Anolis sagrei: one gene and its partner. The protein of the gene in region 1 purifies or fractionates together with the protein of each later gene. This does not show direct contact. Links are inferred from orthologs where the notes say so. Each region holds a gene or a part of one and is shown in the gene's direction. Other genes may lie near its edges.

What was found. The genes of interacting proteins can lie anywhere in the genome.
Region 2: the proteins of HIPK2 (region 1) and DCAF7 purify together in Homo sapiens (affinity purification with western blotting; 3 studies listed by BioGRID and IntAct, with this or other methods). This does not show direct contact. The link is inferred for Anolis sagrei from reciprocal best matches to the Homo sapiens genes HIPK2 and DCAF7.

What each region holds. Positions count from the first base shown.
Region 1 is NC_090025.1:172,262,949-172,270,999, forward strand, and holds the start of HIPK2 (homeodomain-interacting protein kinase 2), read left to right. Parts: upstream 1-5,015; 5' UTR 5,016-5,780; coding exon 5,781-5,799; intron 5,800-8,051.
Region 2 is NC_090026.1:51,933,702-51,940,603, forward strand, and holds the start of DCAF7 (DDB1- and CUL4-associated factor 7), read left to right. Parts: upstream 1-3,889; 5' UTR 3,890-4,025; coding exon 4,026-4,163; intron 4,164-6,902. UniProt on the Homo sapiens protein: Involved in craniofacial development. Acts upstream of the EDN1 pathway and is required for formation of the upper jaw equivalent, the palatoquadrate. The activity required for EDN1 pathway function differs between the first and second arches.

The sequences.
Region 1 (8,051 bases):
CAATGATGGGTCTGGGCCAAACTTGGCATGAATATTCCATATGCCCAAATATGAACACAGATGGAGTTTGGGGAAAATAGACCTTGACATTTGGGAGTTGTAGTTACTGGGATTTATAGATCACCTACAATCAAAGAGCATTCTGAACCCCACTGACAGAATTGGGGCAAACTTCCCACACAAAACCCCCATGACCAACAGAAAATACTTAAGGCCATCCAGTCCATCTCCCTTCACCAGGGCAAGAAAATGTAATCAAAGCCCTCCTGACAAAGAGCCATCCAGCCATAGATATAGATAGATATATATGATTCTCACACACAGATATAGTATCATACATTTAAAAGGGACCCCTAAAGAAGGACAATTATATCTTGCATGTACCAGAGTAGGCAAACCAGACAAAGAAACAGCAAGAAATACCATTTACCCACAAGCATAAAGAAATTACATATATTAGAAAGCAACACTTTCTCATTACTCTATTTTCCAGATCACCAGACTGGGCCACAGCAACGTATGGCAGGGGACGGCTAGTAAATAAATAAATAAGTTGAACAAAAATAGATGTTTGAGAAATACTGTACACCATTGTGCCCTTTTTTATAAAGAGGAAGCTATCTACTACAACAAATGTTGGCTAAGCAAAGCAGATAATGTTTTCTCGTGGCATATGATATGGGTGTGTTCGGTGATTACTGCTTTTTTACTGGATGTGTTTCAACATACTCATTTTGTATTAGAAAACTCTTTGGTATTAGTCGAAACACATGCTCTTTCAAATTACATTCTTATAATGTGGAATTTAACAGAAGGTCAGTGTTCTTGCATTTTGCTTGCTTTTATTGTTGCAGAGAAAGAAAAAAACCTTGGGCACCAAGGCTGGAAAGATAAACATTGGGCCTGGATTGTTCAGTGGTCAGAAGAAGGGCTACACACACACACACACACACACACACACATATGAAAAACTGGGGAAACTGGATAAGGTCAATGGGAGGCTAGTTTATGTACTGTGGAAAAAAAATGCTGTATGAAACTCTGAGACCTCCATAAGATTAAGTTCTATAGAAAGCGAGAGGAACAGACAGGTTGTGCCAACAGCCCCAGGGAAATGCCCTGAAGACAAGTTACAAGAAAAGAGCTGGCAGTGCCAGGGCAGAAATTGAGCAAAAGAGATGGATCGCTTAAAATGAACACAGGAGGGGGCTCCCGTGCCTGTCACACTCAATCCAGAGACACGCTTCTGATGTGGCTCTTTTTAAGGTGGGAGTGGAGGGGCTCCATAAAGCAACAGTATAGGTTTATTTCACCATATTCATAAACACACTGTTTACAGCACACCGTTTTTTGGGGAAAGACTAAAGAGGAGAAAAGAGGCAGCAGCTCAGCACTCCTTATCTTTAAACAAGACCCACAAAGTTTGTGTTTGTGTGAAACAAAGAAATGCAGAGCACTTGAATAAAGGATCAGGAGTCTATCTTAGCTGATGTCTAAATACTGTGTTGTAAAATGTGTGACGTAAGAATATGATGTACTACTGTTAAAATCCTGAAATGTAATAGGGTGAAGAAAGGTCAAAAATAAATATTTTATAACTAATATTACTGATAAGATATGTTACGCAATGAATTTCTGCAACCACGAGCAGACATTTTTGCTGTTTAGAGCAGCCTTCCCAATTTTTTTTTTACCCTGGAGAAACCAGTGAAATAATACCGAGGTCTCAGAGAACCCTTGCCTAAAAATTATTATATTTATGTCTCTGTGCCTTCAAACACACTAAAGGCACTAGATCTCATCTGACTTTATAAACTAAGCAGGGTCAGCTATGTTTTGGATAGGAGTCCGCCAGCAAATACCAGGTGCTGTGGGATATATTTCAGAGGAAGGAACTGTCAAAACCTCTTCTGCGTATTCCTTGTTAAAGAAAACCCAATGAAATGTATGAGGTCACTATAAGACAGCAGGTAATTTGAAGGCATACAGAGAGAGAGAGAAAGAGAAAGAGTCATTTATAAACTTATGTTGACCCCTGAAATTCCATAGGTTTTCCCAGTTCCTTCCACTTAAATATTTGTTGGCAATATCCCATCCACTTTGGCAAACCCTGCTTAGGTTCCAAGATCAAACGGATTTGGGGTCTTTAAGATATTTAAGCCATTTATTATATTTACAACAACAACAACATCATCAACAATAACAACACTTGAGTTAGATTCTGCCCTATCTCCCCAAGGAGAATCAGGGTGGAGTCCAGTATACACAACACAAAGCTAAACATTCAATGCCTAGAAACAATGAAACACAAATAAAGGTAAAGGCTTCCCATTCTAGCTCTGAGGGGTGATGCTCATCACCGGTGCTCATTTCAATTTCTAAGCCAAAAAGCCTGGGTTGTCCATTGCCTTTAAACACCTCCTAGGTCATGTGGCTGGCATGACCTGCATGGAGTGCCATTTACCTTCCTGCGAGGCAGTGCCTGTTGAACTTCTCACATTTGCATGTTTTCAAGCTTCTAGGTTGGCAGAAGCTGGGGCTAATAGTGGGAGCTCACCCACTGATGAGCAGATTTGAACTGCCAACCTTTCGGGCAGCAAGTTCAGCAGCTCAGTGGTTTAATCTGTTGCATCACTGCAGATATAGATAATCAGAATTATTCTGTACTGATCTCTCACAAAATCACATGTGACCTCTTGTGGAATTTTACTATTCCAGGGAACCTTGGTTGAAAAGTCCTGGCTTAGGCAGTTTAGGAAAAAAGGAAGATTAGATTACAAATAGATATATTATTACAGATGTATATATTAAATCAAAGCAGTTCCTTTGGTGCTGAATTTACAAGGCCTGTGGAGGGATTTTGCTTATCCCAGTTTAAGGCCTCTCAAACAAGTTTGTGCTGTGCATTATTTTAATACTGCCTCTTTGAAATGCCTTCACATGAAGTGGCCAGTGTAGATGCACCCTAGAGCTCTTGGAGGAGCCACTGTGGGCCCTGTGTGTCTGCTGGGGTTTAGTCTCAGGACTCCTGCAGATACCAAAATCCAAGTCAGGCTCAATCTGGAAATGGCTGGGCCCTCAGTAGGTATCTACAAGAGTTTGGTTCCAGAACTTCTCATGAACACCAAAATCAAAGGATGTTCAAGTCCCATTATATGCAATGGCATAGTAAATAGTATATGTTATATAAAATGGCACAACCAGGTTTGCTTTTTGGAATTTTAAAAAACATTATCAAGCTGTAGATGCAGAACCCGCATAGGGAGGGCCAGCTTCGCAGTGCCTTCAAACTATGGCTTTGAGTCTGGTTCCAGAGAGGAAAGGAAGTACAAATAGATATAATAACCCAGAAGCTGATGAAGAAACACAACCTACAAACTATCTACAGACTCACTAAGAAAATCCAACAAATGCTACATTTGGCAAAGGACAAGAGGGATCCCCTCATCTCTGCAGGAGTCTACCGTATACCATGCAGCTGTGGACAAGTCTACATAGGGACCACCAAACACAGCATTGCCAAACATGAATCAAGGAAGATGAAAGGCACCGCACATTACTTCAAGCAGAGAAGTCAGCCATAGCAGAGCATCTGATGAACCAACCTCCGGGGGAGGCCATGTGACTGGTAGGGACAAGAGAGAGGGCTTTCTCAGTGATTGGCCCTCAACTTTGGAACTCCCTTCCTGGTGAGATTTGAGCAGTCCCTTCCCTCCTGTCTTTTAGAAGGATGATAAAAACTTGGCTGTGGGACCTAGCCATTGGGACAGTGCAATAAGGCAGCAATAAGAGCCCCGGTGGCACAGTGGGTTAAAGCGCTGAGCTGCTGAACTTGCTGACCAAAAGGTTGCAGGTTTGAATCAGGGGAGTGGGGTGAGCTTCTGCTGTTAGCCCTAGCTTCTGCCAACCTAGCAGTCCGAAAACATGCAAGTGTGAGTAGATCAATACGTACTGCTCTGGCAGGAAGGTAACGGCGCTCAATGCAGTCATGACCTTGGAGGTGTTAACACCGGCTCTTTGGCTTAGAAATGGAGATGAGCACCACCCCTAAGAGTCGGACACCACTGGATTTAATGTCAGGGGTAAACCTTTGCCTTTACTAGGAAACTTGAGGAGCCCCTGGTGGGGTAGCGCAATAGGTTAAACCCTTGTGCTGGCAGAACTGAAGAGGGGCAGGTTAGAGGTTCGGATTCTGGGGAGACCACGGTTGAGCTCCCTCTGTCAGCTCCAGCTCCCCATGCAGGGACATGAGAGAAGCCTCCCACAAGGATGGTAAAACATCCTGGTGTCCCCTGGGTAATGTCCTTAGGTAAAGGTAAAGTTATTCCCCTGATATTAAGTCCAGTTGTGTCTGACTCCGGGGTATGGTGCTCATCTCCATTTCTAAGCTGAAGAGCTGGCATTGTCTGTAGACACCTCCAAGGTCATGTGGCCCGGCATGACTGCATGGAGCGCTGTTACCTTCCCGCTGGAGCAGTACCTATTAATCTACTCACATTTGCATGTTTTCAAATTGCTAGGTTGGCCTTGCAGATGGCCAATTCTCTCACACCAGAAGCGACTTGCAGTTTATCAAGTAGCTCCTGACACACACACAAACCAACCCTCATCACACTAGAGAAAAAAAATCCACTTAAAATCTGGTTTCTGCCTCTTGTAGAATTCTGGAGTTTGTAGTTTAGGGAGGAACCTTTAACAGCCTCACTAAACTACAAACCCCAGAATTCTACAGGAGGCAGAAAGCGGATTTTAAGTGGATTTTTTTCCTCTGGTGTGATGAAGTGCTTGCAACCAGGTTTGATGCGGATGATTGAGACGGTTTAAGCAATAGTGGGAGCTGAAGTCCAAAACACCTGGAGGGAGGGCCCAAGTTTTGCCCGTGCCTGGCGTAGATCCTGGGGAAAGTTTTCCACAACTCGAGCGAGCAAGCCCTGCCACACCTCCCTCCTTGCCTGCCTGCCTGCCTTCCTGGCTACCGGCGGAGGGGGGCGGGCTCGGGGCTTGGCTCCCCTCCCTCCTTGTCTTCTCCTTCCTCGAAACGCGTCGTCCCTTCCCCACGATCGCGCGTCGCCCCCTTTTGTTCCCCTCCTTCCTTCGGGGAAGCCGCGATCCGTGCCATCGGCGCTTGATTATTTGCAAACTCCCTGTGCCTTCCCTCTTGCCCCCCCCCCCCTTCTCCCTCTCTCTTTTCCTCCTCCTCCTCGTTCTCTCATTGCTCTCCCTTCTCCGGCAACTTTTGCAGCCATCTCCCGGCCAGGACCGGCATGCGGAGCTGAGAGAGACCCCGTTTTCGTGGCTGCCTCTCCTTCCCCCCCTGCTTGAAGACCGAAGGGGGTCCCGGTGGTTTGGGGAGGAGGGGACTGGGGAGAGGTGCCTTCTCCTCCGCTTGACCTCTCCTCCTCCCCCTCCTCCTGCTTCTCCTCCTCCTTCTTCGCCCTGCCTTGCCTTGCCTTCCCTTTGAGCGGCTGCGGAGAGAAAGGGATGCGGGCAGGAGGCGGCTGGGCGACGCGGCGGCGGCGGTGGAGGAGGCTCCTCTCCGGAGAGACCCAGAGTCGGCTCAAGATGGCAGATTGCGATTGAGTTTTTTGCCACGCCGGGGGAGGGAGGAGGGGGGCCCGGGAGGAGGAGGAAGAAGAAGAAGAGGAGGAGGAGAAGGAGGCGAGGAAGGGGCTCCCCTTTGGAAGAAGAAGGAGAAGGAGAAGAACCCACAGGCACAGAGACAACCCTGCTTCGCTGGCGTCGCCTTTCGTGGCCATGAATAACAGGCAAACCTCGCACCCATGGCCCCCATGTACGAAGGTAAGCCCCGCCGCAGCAGAAGCCCTTTCTTTCCCATCCGAAGCAGAGGAGGAGGAGGAGGAGGAGGAAGAGACCGGGGGTACAGTCTATCTAAAACGGAGCAAACCCGGCAATTGGAAAGGATTCGGGATTAGAAGGAGAAGGGTGACCACCGATTTGGGGAACACCCCCTTTCACTATGGGGTTGCGGGGGGGGGGGTTCTTCTACACTCCCCCCCCCCCTGCTTTGTGTATATGGGATTCTCCCTCTGTATACTGAAGGATGGCTCTGGCAAGGTAGAACTAAGGTTTCGAGCATAACAACAATCATAATCAGGGATTCCTGTTATTCCTCTGCGCCTTCTCTACCTAAGCAGGCTGGTTCCTCACCAAACTATTACTATTATATTTAATGTTATCTTATAGTCTTATATTACTACTTCTATTATATTTTCTATTATGTTTATTGTATTTTATAGGATTGCTTTTAGTCTATTTTATATTATTATAATTCTATTTATATTACTACTTTTATTATATTATTATATTTTCTATTATTTTTATTATTTTCTATTATTTTTTCTATTACTACTTTTATTATATTTTCTGTTATGATTATTGTAATTTATAGGACTCCTTTTATTTAATTTAATATTACTATAATTCTATTTATATTATTACTTCCATTATATTTTTATTATAATTATTATATTTTCTATTTTATCATTTTTATATTATTATAATTATTATATTTTTATTACTACTTTTATTATATTTTATATTTTTATTATATTTTCTATTACTACTTTTATTATATTTTATATCATTATAATTATTATATTTTCTATTACTTACTTGTATTATATTATATATATTTATTATATTTTCTATTACTACTTTTATTATATTTTGTATTATTATAATTATTGTATTTTCTATTACTACTTTTATTTATATTATAATTATATTTATATTGCTACTTTTATTATATTTTCTATTATTGCAATTATTGTATTTTCTATTACTACTTTTATTATATATTATATTATTATTTTATGTTGCATATTAGTACTACTTTTATTATAATTTATATTATAACTACTACTTTTATTATATTATTGTATATGGTACTTAATAATTTATTATTATTATTATTATTATTATTATTATTAATGTATTAGTATCATTATCATCATCATTTTGAGGGGTTTTTCTTCCCCTCCCTGCTCTCTCCCCGCCCCCTTCGGAGCCGGTCCTTTGGAGAACCTTTCTTCTTCCTCTCCCCCCCCCCTTTCCCCCAGGGACGAGACAGTAGACAGTGCGGGAGGTCTAGACTACCTGGGGACAGGGCCCAGGCTTAGCAAAGTCTCTCTGCGGGAACAATGCCTTTTGACAGACGGCTGCCCGCAATCTCCAGCCTCGATCCTCAGCAAAAGAACCCACGGAAAGTCCTGCAGCTGCGTCACTCGCTGGCCCCGCTCTCCCCACCCTCACCACCCGTGGGTCTGGGCAGCTGAGTGCCTTTGCAGTGCCAGAGGTTTTATTTTCATTTTTTTTTTAGTGTGAAACATGGGAATCCTTGCTATAGGTAGAGATCTACACTGTAAAATGTATGTAGCTTGACACCCTCTTTGAAGTGCAGTGTCAGACTGCATCCACTCTACAGTGTAGATCAGGCCTGGGCCAACTTGGGCCCTCCAGGTGTTTTGGACTCCAGCTCCCACAATTCCTAACAGCCTAACGCATAAGCAGCTGAGGGGGAAAAGGAAAGGGCCTGAGGCTGTTAGGAATTGTGGGAGCTGGAGTACAAAACATCTGGAGGGCCCAAGTTGGCCCATGCCTAGTGTAGATACACACACATCTGTAGCAGTACATGTGTGCGTCTATACCAGGCATCCTCAAACTGCGGCCCTCCAGTTGTTTGGGCCTTCAACTCCCAGAATTCCTGACAATTAAACAAGCTCATTAGGGCTACTGGGAGTTAGAGGCCCAAACAGCTGGGGGGGGGGGGGGGGGACAGTTTGAAGATGCCTGGTCTATATATCCAAAGGAAGTGTTTTGTTCTCATTAAAATATCACAATGGATCTCAGTTTCGAGCTAAACAAGCCTGAGTTTGAATGGCACCGAGTTGACTAAAGTGCATGAAGTTGCCTTTTATATATATATGTGTGTGTGTTTTACTCTGGATCTTGTTCTCAGTTGCTTTCCTTGTCCTTTTCCCAAGCTTCATGGGAGTGGGGGAAAAAAAAGAAAATCGGTCACAAATAAACCC
Region 2 (6,902 bases), on another chromosome or scaffold:
ATGTGCTCACATATCCTTCCAATAATAATAAAGGGAGTAAAATAATAAATGTAATAAAAATAATAATAGAGTAAAATAATGGAAATGTAATAACAGTAATGAGAATAAAATAATAAATGTAATAATAACAATAATAAATAGAGTAAAATAATAAATGTAATAACAATAAAGAGTAAAATAATAAATGTAAGAACAACAATAATAGAGTAAAACAATAAATGTTATAATAACAATAAAGAGTAAAATAATAAATATAATAATAATAATAATAATAATAATAATAAATAGAGTAAAATAATAAATGCAATAAAAATAATACTAATAACAGAGTAAAATAGTAAATAACACTGACTCGAGTATAAGCCGAGGGGAGGTTTTTCAGCCTAAAAAGGGGGTTGAAAAACTAGGCTTATACTCGAGTATATTCAGTATTTTAAAGTCTGTGCTGATATCAATGTCACAGGTGACCAAAGTGCCTGTGTGAGAAATGCTGACTTATAATTTCATATTTTTTTATCCACTTGGAAATAAGCTTTACTAGGATCAATGAGATATTTCACTCCTATAAGTGGAAAGTCAACTAGGCTAGTGGTTGGAACATTGGGCTACAATTCTGGATTTGAATCTCCGCTTGACCTTTAAACCCAGTGAGTAATGCTGGACACATCACATTCTTTCAGCCTCAGAGGAAGGCCATGGCAAACCTCTTCTGAACGAATCTTACCAAGACAGTCCTGTAAAGGGGCTGCAACAAGTCAGAAACAACTTGAAGGCATATGGCAAGTGGAGTACAGGCAGTCCCCAAATGTACACTGAAGCTTTATCACCAATCCTTGTTCCACAGAGTTTTTGTTTTGGCCTGGAAAGTAAAAGCGATGACTGTTGTACTCCAGAACAGGGATAATCCTCTGACTTTAAACACCACACATTGAATAGGAAAAAAACAATCCTTTTATTAAAGATAAGTAAAAAGCAGCAAAGAAAAAAGCTCTTTAAAGAAATGTTGTTGTTGTTCATTCGTTCAGTCGTCTCCAACTCTTCGTGACCTCATGGACCAGCCCACGCCAGAGCTTCCTGTCGACTGTCACCACCCCCAGCTCCTTCAAGGTCAGTCCAGTCACTTCAAGGCTGCCATCCATCCATCTTGCCCGTGGTTGGCCCCTCTTCCTTTTACCTTCCACTTTCCCCAGCATAATTGTCTTCTCTAGGCTTTGCTGTCTCCTCATGATGTGGCCAAAGTACTTCAACTTTGTCTCTAATATCCTTCCCTCCAATGAGCAGTCGGGCTTTATTTCCTGGAGGATGGACTGGTTGGATCTTCTCGCAGTCCAAGGCACTCTCAGAACTTTCCTCCAACACCACAGTTCAAAAGCATCTATCTTCCTTCGCTCAGCCTTCCCTAAGGTCCAGCTCTCACATCCGTAGGTTACTACAGGGAATACCATGGCTTTGACTAGGCGGATCTTTGTTGCCAGTGTGATGTCTCTGCTCTTTACTATTTTATCGAGATTGGACATTGCTCTCCTCCCAAGAAGTAAGTGTCTTCTGATTTCCTGGCCACAGTCTGCATCTGCAGTAATCTTTGCACCTAGTAATACAAAGTCTGTCACGGCCTCCACATTTTCTCCCTCTATTTCCCAGTTGTCAATCATTCTTGTTGCCATAATCTTGGTTTTTTTTATGTTTAGCTGCAACCCGGCTTTTGTGCTTTCTTCTTTCACCTTGATTAGAAGGCTCCTCAGGTCCTCCTCACTTTCGGCCATCAGAGTGGTGTCATCTGCATATCTGAGGTTGTTAATGTTTCTTCCAGCAATTTTCACCCGAGCCTTGCATTTGTCAAGTCCCGCGCATCGCATGATGTGTTCTGCCTACAAGTTGAATAGTTGTTGTTGTTTTTGTTTTTTTGGGGGGGGGGGGTTGTCGTGTCAGGAGCAACCTGAGAAACTGAAAGTCGCTTCTGGTGTGAGAGACTTGGCCATCTGCAAGGACGTTGCCCAGAGGATGATTTGATGTTTTATCATCCTTGTGGGAGGCTTCTATCATGTCCCTGCATGAGGAGCTGGAGTTGATAGAGGGAGCTCATCTGCCTCTCCCCGAATTCGAACCTGCGACCTGTCGGTCTTCAGTCCTGCTGGCACAGGGGTTTAACCCACTACGCCACTGGGGGCTCCGTAGCTGTATAGGTTGGGTGAGAGTATACAGCCCTGCCGTACGCTTTTCCCAGTCTTGAATCAGTCTGTTGTTCCATGGTCAGTTCTTACTGTTGCTACTTGGTCTTTATTCAGGTCCCTCAGGAGACAGACAAGGTGATGTAGTATCCCCATACAATGTAAATTGGTAGAAAAGTGGGTAATGAACCATCTAGATTTGGTGGAGAAGGTGCTTGCAGTTCTGGAGGGACTCTAATTTTTCTTCTCATAGATTTGGCATGGAGATTTGTTTAACCAAGAAAAATTCATGGGAAATTTTTCAGGTGTGGTTTGAACCCCTAAAGCAGGGGTCCTCAAACGTTTTAAACAGAGGGCCATGTCAGAGTCCCTCAAACTGTTGGAGGGCCGGATTATAATTTGAAAAAAAAAAGAATGGATTCATATGCACACTGCACATATCTTATTTGTAGTGCAAAAAACACTTAAAAACAATGCAATAATTAAAATGAAGAACAATTTTAACAAATATAAACTTGTATTGTCGAAGGCTTTCATGGCCGGAATCACTGGGTTGTTGTAGGTTTTTTCAGGCTATATGGCCAGGAGAGAAATGCCTCTAGACCAGGGGTCCTCAAACTAAGGCCCGGGGGCCAGATGCGGCCCTCCAAGGTCATTTACCTGGCCCTCGCTCAGGGTCAACCTAAGTCTGAAACAACTTGAAAGCACAACACAACAATAACAATCCTGTAAATGCTCCCCTCTCATTCCTTTTATAACTTCCCAGTCGTCTGATATTTGTTATTAGCCGCCCCCTATTTTAGATTCATACATGCACTTTAAACTGTAAGTTTAGTCTGTTTTATCTTTTTAATTTGTCTCTTTTATAACATGTTTTTAGTCTGCTTTTAATCTGCTTTTATACTTACTTATCTACTTGGGAACTATACCTACTTTTATACCTACTATCTACTTGGGAACTGCGATTCCCTTCCTTGGGCACCGATGCCCCATTCTGTACTGTGCTGGTCAAAGACCGTAATAAATCATTGATTGATTGAATAACAATCCTATATCATCAGCCAAAAGCAGGTCCACACTTCCCACTGAAATAATAATAAGTTTATATTTGGTAAAATTGTTCTCCATGTTAATTATTGTATTGCTTTTAAGTGATTTTTTGCAGTACAAATAAAATATATTCAGTGTGCAAAGAAATTAATTCATTTTTTCAAGTTATACTCTGGCCCTCCAACAGTTTGAGGGACTGTGACCTGGCACTCTGTTTAAAAAGTTTGTGGACCCCTGATCTAGACCATGGCCATCTAGCCCGAAAAAACCTACAACAACCCAAATATAAACCTATTCGTATTTCAATGGCAAGTGCGGGCCTGCTTTTGGCTGATGAGATAGGATTGTTGTTGCTGTTGTGTGCCTTCAAGTTGTTTAAGACTTAGGTTGACCCTGAGCAGGGGCCGGGTAAATGACCTTGGAGGGCCATATCTGGCCCCCGGGTCTAAGTTTGAGGACCTCTGCCCTAAAGGCTTACTTGCTCTATGTTTTTCTCTATACATCTATCTACCTGTGGCTATGATATAGCCTGATTATTATTTTTTGTCAGAGGGGCGGGTTTTAATCAAGAGCGACAAGTATTCCCGCCAATAGCGTCGACGCTGCCGGGGAACCAATGAGCGGCGGAGCTTTGTGGAATGGCGTGGCGGGCAGCCAATGAGAGGGCCGGGCCCGAGTCGCAGTGGGCGAACGGCGACGGAGAGTAGTTGGCGGTCGCCGTTGTGTGCGAGGGAGAGGGAGAAGGGCCGCCGCCGCCGCTGCGGGAGGAGGAGGAGGAGGAGGAGGAGGCCTTCCCTCCCTCCCGCCATGTCGCTGCACGGGAAGCGCAAGGAGATCTACAAGTACGAGGCGCCATGGACCGTCTACGCCATGAACTGGAGCGTCAGGCCCGACAAGCGCTTCAGGCTGGCGCTCGGCAGCTTCGTGGAGGAATACAACAATAAAGTAGGCGGCGGAGAGCGGGGAGGGAGGAGGGAGGGAGGCCGCGGGTGAGGCGCCACGCAAGGCCGGAGGCCTGGCCCCTCTCCTGCCTGCCTGCCTGCTGCGGGAGGCCTCCCTCTGCTTCTCCTCAGGGAAAGGCAGAGGCTGGACCCCTTTTCCACAGCCACATCTCCCGCCGGGATTTGTAGTTCCGTGTGGCTGTCGATCTCTGCCAAATACCTCCCCAAACTACACATCCCATCACCGCGTAGGCCTTAGTGACAGTTGGGGCGCTTATTCCAAGCAGAAGGCTCCACAGGGCCCTTCCACACAGGCCTATAACCCAGAATATCAAGGCAGAAAATCCCACTGGGTTATCTGAGGCCCCTTCCACACAGCTGAATAAAATCCCACATTATCTGCTTTGAACTGGAATATATGGCGGTGTGGACTCAGATCTATATAAATAAAAATGTAATGTTCGTTTGTGGGATTAATATAACTCAAAAACCACTGGACGAAATGACACGAAATTTGGACACAAGTGACCATCACTCATTTAAAAAAAAACACACAGCAAAAGGGACTTATAAAGCCACCCCCCCCCCAAAATTACATTACAATGCATGCACAAAACCACACATCTCTGCCAATTACCTCCCCAAACTACACATCCCATCATCGCACAGGCCATAGTGACAGTTGGGGCATTTATTCCAAGCAGAAGGCTCCAGAGGGCCCTTCCACACAGCCATATAACCCAGAATATCAAGGCAGAAAATCCCACAATGTCTGCTTTGACCTGGTTATCTGAATAAAATCCGACATTATCTGCTTTGAGCTGGAATATATGGCGATGTGGACTCAGATAATCTAGGGCCCTTCCAGACAGGCCCTGTATCCCAGGATCTGATCCCAGGTTTTCTGTTTATCCCAGATTATCTGGTAGTGAGGACACATATAATCTATATAAATAAAAATGTAATGTTCAATGTATTGTCGAAGGCTTTCATGGCTGGAATCACTAGGTTCTTGTGGGTTTTTTCGGGCTATAGGGCCATGTTCTAGAGGCATTTCTCCTGACGTTAGGCGAAACATCAGGAGAAATGCCTCTAGAACAGCGTTTCTCAACCTGGGGGTCAGGACCCCTGGGTGGGTCGTGAGGCGGTGTCAGGGGGGTCGCCAAAAACCATTAGAAAACACAGTATTTTCTGTTGGTCATGGGGGTTCTGTGTGGGAAGTTTGGCCCAATTTTATCGTTGGTGGGGTTCAGAATGCTATTTGATTGAAGGTGAACTATAAATCCCAGCAACTACAACTCCCAAATGTCAAGGTCTAGTTTCCCCAAACTCCGCCAGTGTTCACATTTGGGCATATTGAGTATTTGTGCCAAGTTTGGTCCAGATCCAACATTGTTTGAGTCCACAGTACTCTCTGGATGTAGGTGAACTACAAGTCCCAAAAGTCAAGGTCAGTGCCCACCAAACCCTTCCAGTATTTTCTGTTAGTCATGGGAGTTCTGTGCATCAAAATTGGTTCAATTCCATCGTTGGTGGAGTTCAGAATGCTCTTTGATTGAAAATGAACTATAAATCCCAGCAACAACAACTCCCAAATGACAAAATCAACCGCCCACCCCAAATCCCACCAGTATTCAAATTTGGGCATATGGGTATTTGTGCCAAATGTGGTCCAGTGAATGAAATACATCCTGCATATCAGATATTTACATTATGATTCATAACAGGAGCAAAATTACAGTTATGAAGTAGCAATGACAATAACACTATGTTTGAGGGTCACCACAACATGAGGAACTGTATTAAGGGGTCGCGGCATCAGGCATCAGGAAGGTTGAGAAACACTGCTCTACAATATGGCCCTATAGCCCGAAAAAACCCACAAGAACCTAATGTAATGTTCGTTTGTGGGATTAATATAACTCAAAAACCACTGGACGAATTGACACCAAATTTGGAGACAAGACACCTATCAGGCCAATGAGTGACCATCATTCATTTAAAAAAAAAGACACAGCAAAAGGGACTTAAAAAGCAAAAAAAAAAAAAAACCCCAAAATTACATTACAATGCATGCACAAAACCACACATATATACGTAAACACACAAAACACATAGACACAGACTGGGCCACAGCAATGCGTGGTAGGGGACGGCTAGTCTATATAAATAAAAATGTAATGTTCGTTTGTGGGATTAACATAACTCAAAAACCACTGGGGGAATTGACACCAAATTTGGACACGATACACCCAGCAACCCTATATATGTCCTTCACTAAAAAAAAATTGATTTTGTCATTTGGGAGTTGCAGTTGCTGGGATTTATAGTTCAGCTACAATCAAAGAGCATTCTGAATCTCACCAACGATGGAATTGAACCAAACTTAGCACAAAGATCTCCCACAACCATCAGAAAATACTGGAAGGGTTTGGTGTTGTCCTTTGGTTTTGGAGTTGAAGTTCACCTACATCCAGAGATCACTGTGGACACAAACAATGATGGATCTGGACCAAACTCTACACGAATACTCGATATGCCCAAATGTGAACACTGGTGGAGTTTGGGGGAAATAGAATCTTGACATTCGGGAGTTGTAGTGGCTGGGATTTATAGTTCACCTACAATCACAGAGCATTCTGAACCCCACCAATGATGGAATTGAACCAAACTTAGCATACAGATCTCCCACGACCAACAGAAAATACTGGAAGGGTTTGGTGGGCAGTGTCCTTGGTTTTGG